2 linked regions of the Sus scrofa genome follow. The protein of the gene in region 1 interacts with the protein of each later gene in a biochemical or structural test. Links are inferred from orthologs where the notes say so. Each region holds a gene or a part of one and is shown on either strand. Other genes may lie near its edges.

Evidence for each region.
Region 2: the proteins of CNOT1 (region 1) and TNRC6A form a complex in vitro, tested with the Homo sapiens proteins (2 studies listed by BioGRID). The link is inferred for Sus scrofa from reciprocal best matches to the Homo sapiens genes CNOT1 and TNRC6A.

Annotation. Positions count from the first base shown.
Region 1 is NC_010448.4:20,274,910-20,278,479, reverse strand, and holds part of CNOT1 (CCR4-NOT transcription complex subunit 1), read left to right. Parts: intron 1-859; coding exon 860-1,009; intron 1,010-1,673; coding exon 1,674-1,854; intron 1,855-3,570.
Region 2 is NW_018084874.1:617,579-621,404, forward strand, and holds part of TNRC6A (trinucleotide repeat-containing gene 6A protein), read right to left. Parts: intron 2,933-3,826; coding exon 350-2,932; intron 1-349.

The sequences.
Region 1 (3,570 bases):
ACACCACAGCCACAGCAACTCGGGATCCAAGCCGTGTCTGTGACCTACAGCACAGCTCACGGCAATGCCCGGATCTTTAACCCACTGAGCAAGGCCAGGGGTCAAACCCACATCCTCATGGATACTAGTTGGGTTTGTTAACCACTGAGCCATGACAGGAACTCCTTTTTTTTTTTTCCCCCTTAAACATGCCTTTCTTTCTTTTTTTTTTTTTTCTTTTTTTTTGTCTTTTGAGGGCCGCTCCTGCGGCATATGGAGGTTCCCAGGCTAGAGGGCGAATCGGCGCTGTAGCCACGGGCCTACGCCAGAGCCACAGCAACGTGGCATCCGAGCCGCGTCTGCGACCTATACCACAGCTCACGGCAATGCTGGATCCTTAACCCACTGAGCGAGGCCAGGGACGAACCCACAACCTCATGGTTCCTCGTCAGATTCGTTAACCACTGAGGCACGATGGGAACTCCACCTTTCTTTTTTTTAAAGTGGCAGGTATCATGTCTTGTTCTGTTAGGGCATCTTCCAAAGGCTAGGGCTCTTGGTGAATGAGGAATCTCATTCTGTACTCTTATTTGAAATCCAAGTCCAGGAGAAAAACAGTTAGTGGTGTAAACTAGACCTCTCCACAGAAAATACCTATCCTGTGTTAAGAAAGATAACATAGTATAGAATGAGAGATTACTAATCACTTTATATGTAGATTCTTCTAATTAAAGTCTGTTAATAAAAAGCAGCAGCTCTTTAAGATATTTATAAAGTATATAGTTTTAGAAACAGTTCTACCATTTTCCAGAATAGATACAATTTGCTGTTAAGTCCTGCAAATGCTTCTGGATATGATTATTGCATTTGTCTGTGGCAGGTGGATATGTTGAGTGAAATTAACATTGCACCCCGGATTCTCACCAATTTCACTGGAGTGATGCCACCTCAGTTCAAAAAGGATTTGGATTCCTATCTTAAAACTCGATCACCCGTCACTTTTCTGTCTGATCTGCGTAGCAACCTACAGGTTAATTGGTTTGTCTTAAACTCTCCATCTTTCATGTATGCACAGTCTTGTGCCCAGACTCTTTGAAGTTAGTCTTTTCAACTTCATTTAAAGGTTTTAAAGCACATTGTCTCTTTTACTGGCTGGTAAGAAAAACTGGATTATACATTTTACTAGTTGATTTTGCCAGTGATGCAAAACTATAGCCTTGGAAGAGGCAGCCAGGGAATGGACTGATTTTAAGAATTGATTGCTGATATTCATTCCCATAACTCCAAGACTTAATAAATAAACAGACTCTGGTTGTTTTCTGTATAGAAAATGACTTGAGGTTGTATCATCTTTCCAGTCTTTCCATACCGAGAAAATACATTTTTTTTCTCCTCTCTGAATCCTTTTTTATAATTGAGATAGTGCATAATTTGACTCTATAAACTTTTTTGCTGATAACTGTTAAAACTCTGGCTTTTCAAGGGAAATCATGTTTCTGTTTTTGATAAAACCACATTTTGGGCAGCTGTGTATTTGTTCAGTAACTTCACAGATTCAAGCAAATATCTAAAATTTAAGCCACAAATATTGGGAGTTCAGCTTTTCTACAAAAGGCATAAAAAAGGGTTTTTAGAATTGGTGCCTGAATTAATCCTCTGTGAGAGTAAGTCAGCTTTCTGTTTTGTTCATTTAGGTATCCAATGAGCCTGGCAATCGCTACAACCTCCAGCTCATTAATGCACTGGTGCTCTATGTAGGGACTCAGGCCATTGCACACATCCACAACAAGGGTAGCACGCCTTCAATGAGCACGATCACCCACTCGGCTCACATGGACATCTTCCAGAACCTGGCTGTGGACTTGGACACTGAAGGTAGGTGAAGCTAGCCAGTCCTGAGTCATGTTCTCTGCCCTTGTCACAATCTGGTCCTAAAAATACTTTAAGCCACAATAGACAATGTTCCGTCAATATGGTTATGGGACTGGCTAGCCATTTTATCTTTTTTATTGTTGTTCTTTTTAGGGCCTCATCTGCAGCATATGGAGGTTCCCAGGCTAGAGGTCTTATCGAAGCTGTAGGTCGAATTGGACCTATACCACAGCTACGGCAACACCAAGATCCTTAACCCAATGAACAAGGCCAGGGGTCGAACCTGCATCCTCAAAATGGATCCTGGTCAGATTCATTTCCACTGAGCCACAATGCGAACTCCATCATTGTATCTTTAATTGGATAGTATCTGCTCAATACAGAAAACACAGGAAACATAAAGGAAAGAATACTTAGCACCTCAGTTAATATTTCAGTGTGTATGTGAAAATAAACATGTTCTGGGAGTTCCCGTTGTGGCTCAGTGGTTAACGAATCTGACTAGGAACCATGAGGTTGTGGGTTTGATCCCTGGCCTCGCTCAGTGGTTTAAGGATCTGATGTTGCGTGAGCTGTGGTATAGATTGCAGACACGGCTCAGATCTCCCACTGCTGTGGCTCTGGCGTAGGCTGGCAGCTACAGCTCTGATTTGACCCCTAGCCTGGGAACCTCCGTATGCTGAGGGAGTAGCCCTAGAAAAAGCAAAAAGACAAAAAACAAACATGTTCTTTTAAAATAGGCTGATGTTACTTGTTTTGTTAGCCTATTATTCCAACATTTATTGGTGCCTCTTTGCCAAGCAGTATGTTAACTATTAGGTGTAAAAAGATTAATGAATAGGACTTCTTTACCTGCTCTACAAAAAATTCACAGTATAATTCCTATTGTAGGTTGCATCATGCCTGGTTGAACTACATTTTATTTATTTTTTTCCTTTTTAGGGCTGCACCCATGGCATATGGAGGTCGCCAAGCTAGGGGTTGAATCGGTGCTGCAGCCACTGGCCTACACCATGACCACAGCAATGCTAGATCTGAGCTGCATCTGCGACCTACACCACAACTCATGGCAATGCCAGATCCTTAACCCACTGAGTGAGGCGAGGGATTTAAACTGTGTCCTCATGGTTCCTAGTCAGATTCGTTTCCACTGTGCCACAATGGGAACTCCAAATTGAACTACATCTTTTGGTGTTCTGGATTCATTGTTGTATTTAAGAGACCCTAGTAGATGATGACCAACTGAGCTATACAATCCTGCCCCCCCCCTTTTTTTTTTGGCTGCTGTGTGGCATGTGGAGTTCCTAGGCCAGAGATCAGATCTGAGCTGCAGTTTTGGCAATGCCAGATCCTTAACACATTGCACTAAGCTGGGGATCAAACCTGCATCTCAGCACTGCAGAGATGGCCACCCATCAGAACTCTAATCCTGCTTATTTTATTTTTTTTTGCTTTTTAGGGCTGCACCCGTCGAATATGGAGGTTCCCAGGCTAGGGTCAAATCAGAGCTACAACTGCCAGCCTACGCCACAACCACAGCAACACAGATTCTGAGTGAGCTGTGTCTTGGACCTACAGCAAAGCTCACACAGCAACGCGGGATCTTTAACCCACTGAGTGAGGTCAGGGATGAACCTTGTATTCAGTCAGTATTCTCAGGGATACTAGTTGGATTCTTCTGCTGCGCCACAACGGGAACTCCTAATCCTGCTTATTTAA
Region 2 (3,826 bases), on another chromosome or scaffold:
TTATTCCTGGGAATATTTTAGTCAAATAATAAAGCCAAAATGTAATGGCTTAATTCAGAAGAAATGAGAAAAGTGTACAGCATTCCCACCATCTCATTTCCAATTCTGCCTTTGGTAGCAGGTTACCTAATGAAGAGTGGAGTATGAGGGATTCACAAACAATGCCACCAAAAGACCTTCCCCATAACTTTCTTCCCTCTAAACTTCTGGATTAGAGTTCAAAAAAAAAGCTTTGTGTGGCCATCCCAACACTTCATGAAACCAATTTTATCACAAGAGTTCATTGAAACAAGGTTCACAGTACTGTTTAAGTACTGGGTAACACAGATTCCAGAAGATAAAAACTTACCGGAGCCATTGCTTGCCTCTTTGTTTGAGATGGCACTTGCAGATGGTAGCAACTGATGTACCTGTGCTTGCTGGTCTGAACGGCTACTGCCATTTGGGACATTTTTGTTCCACATGTTCACATTTTTGTAGTTGTATTTGCTTGGATCTCCCCAAGCTGAAGTTCCATCATCGATCTCCATTTTGCGACGTATGGATTCTGGGGATGGCTCCTCCCAGCCTGTGGGTTCTTCTTCTTTAGCTGGGGCTGGTATAGGTCCTCCCAACCAGCCTGTACCTGGAGGTTTGCCTGTGGCTGGCAGGATTCCCCATGATCCGACAATGTCTTGTTGCTTGTTCCAGTCCGGAGAACTGACTGGCTTTGACGAATCTCCCCAACCTAGAGACTGATTAGACTTTGGAGGATCCCCCCATCCCTGGGAAGGATTCGATTTAGAAGATTCATCCCATCCTGATGAATTATTTGGATTTATGTTATTTCCCCAAGTAAAAGAGCTAGTTTTACCAAGTTCATTCCAACCAGAAACGGACCTGTCACTGTCACTACCTCCTGAGCTAGATTTCTTATTAGCCTCACCCCAATGGTTGCTCCTTGAAGTTTCTCCCCAGTTATCACCGGCAGAAACGGACCACCCTTGGTTTGATTTTTGTCCATCACCCCATCCCTGTTTGTTCTTTTGCGAATCATTCCATGCGGACTTCTCTTCTTTGCAATTCCCCCACTGATTGCTCTTGACCATTCCTGTAGCAGCAGAATCATCTTCCCATCCCCCCTGGCAGTTTGAGCCTTTGGAATCTCCCCACCTCAGAGCAGGTTTGGGATCTCCCCACCCCGATACAGATGAGGTATCATTACTATTAGGGCTAGTCTTCTCTATACATGCCCCTGAGTTAAAAGTCTGTGTTGCAGAGCTTCCCCAGGCCTCTGTCCCATTGTCAGTCTTTCTTTCCCCTCTAGGTGATGTTTCCGTATCCCAGGCAGTATTCTGCTTAATAGGAGTCTGTCCCCAACCAGAGTTGGAGAGGACACGTGGATCTAAGTCAGTTCTGTTTACAATGCTTTGGAGTAATGTGTGCTGATCAATTTTTCTTCTATCTCTACTCTGATTTTCCCCAGTTCCTTTTTCCTCGAGGCGTCCAGTGCTTTCTGTACTACCTTCACTCTCCACTGTACCTCCTGTTTTGGCCCACACACTGTTTTGCTCATTTGTCTGAGATGTGGCAGAACCCTGATCCTCTTCCTCAGTAGATTTCCATCCATTTGTAAACTTCTTACCATTGCCATTTGCACTGTCATTGGAATGCTGATTGCTAGGCAGTTTGTTCCATTCCACGCTGGGTATGTTAGTGCCAGTGTTTTGTGCAGGAGCTCCCCATCCTCTTCGACTTCCGCCAGAATTTGCACCATTTCCATTTCCCCATGATGCACTCTGGGAATTCGCTGTCCCAGACTCCCACACACCTCCTCCTTTATTTGTGTTAACTTGAAAGTTAGTGCCCATAGGCCCATTTATGCCAGGCTGCATTAGAGTTGCATTCACAGTGTCACCATTAGCTTGGCCATTAGGGCTTGAACATTTGTCTCCAGAGTAATTAGAACCATAGGCACCCCATGTAGTACCGTAAGAGCCTCCACTTTTTGACTCTCCATTGCTAAGGTGAGAAAGGGAAGTGCCATTCATAACCGATGGAGCCTGTATCTGAGGATGATTCATTGTGCTCACACGCCAGGCCCCTGTATTACTAGGCAGTTCATTATTTTGTACTGAACCGGAGTTTGGTAAACTAGAGGTCATAAAGTTAGTAGTGTTATTTGGTCCAGTCATTTCAGTGGTAATATTTTGAGGTTGACCACTGAATGAAACCTTCTGTGTACCACTTACTTCAGATTCACAAGTTTCCTGAAGGCTTCCCCAGGTACCATGGGTAGAAGAACCACCCACTTTAGAGTTAATACTCTGATTGTTAGGCATCTGGCCTAAGGTACTGCACTGAATATTGATGCCAGAACTACCACTCCCTACAGGCCCTTTTAGGGCAAGTCCATTGTTCTCTAATACTGGCCAGGCACCATGGTTGCTAGCTGAATTCAAAGTGCTTGGATTTAACCCTCCATTTGATGAAGAACTTACAGTGCCCCAAGCATTCATTCTATTGTTGCTACTTTCTGATTTGCTTTCAGGAGCATCCACAGAGACCTGACATGTGCTTATTATGGCTCCATGGGAAAAACCCCATGGCCCAGTACTACTTCCATGGCCTACATTATTGCTGCTGCTACCAACCACAAACTTGTTTTGGGATCCAAGTCCAGTGCTATTCCGAAGGCCATCTTTTTCGCCACCTGTGCTCCCTGAAGCCATGATAGTGATGTTTCGCTCTGATTCAGAACTGGAAGCAGAATCAGCATCCATACATTCTGAAGCCAACTCTGGATCACTGCCAGGGACTGAGGGCCATGCTTCTTTTTCAGGGGAGTCGTTTACAACAGCATTCTTACAGTTTGTGCTAGAGTCACTTGTAGAAGACACAGGTCCCCGCTGCAAATTTTCATAATGGGATCCTGAAGTACTGTGGTTAATATCTAGAATAAAGAAGAAGCACAAAAAAATCTACGGTAATTGGGAGAAAAAAAAAAAAAAACACATTATAAACGTGCACGGTTCTTCAACATCAACATGATACAATACCTAGCAGCATAATTAAAAGTGCATTGGTTATATCCCAGCCACCAACTTTCCATAGCCAGTAATTAATTTCGTACTGGTGGGGAATTTTGCTGCTTTGTACACTGATGTTATCCTAAGAGCCTGCAGCACTACTTGGAACATAAGAGCCCCTCAAGAAACATCTGTTGAATGAATGAACTGTTCACTTATCAGCAAATAAAAGAATTCTCGAGTCAGGAACGGTAAGGTGGTAGTGATGTACTAGGATAATGGAGCAGCCCAGGTTTGGTGGCCTGACAAGGGAAAGAAGGACCTGGGATGGAGTTCCTACTGTGGTGTGCTGGATTTAAGAATCTGACCGCAGAGGCTTGGATGGCTGCGGAGGGGCGGGTTCAATCCCTGGCCGGGAGCAGTGCGTTAAAGGATCCGGCACTGCCACAGCAATGGCATAGGTTGCAGCTGTGGCTCAGATTCAACCCCTGGCCCAGGAACTTGAATATGCTGTGGGGGCAGCCATTTAAAATGGGGGGGGGGGAAGGGCTGGGATATAAATGGGTAAAAGGACAAGAAAACAGGCCGAACATGATGAAATATTTCAGAAATACATTAGGAATCCTTTTCTATCCACCCTGTTTAAGAATAGCTTTATCACACACCTGTTTTGGGTATAAGAATTATAAAACCTTTTCCATTACGCTTCTATGTCATTAGTATTGATATTCAACCTGAAAAACACTGCATACAAGCAAAAATAATTTTAGTTCTACTCTCCTTAATAAACATGTCCTAATTTACCTTGACACCATGTT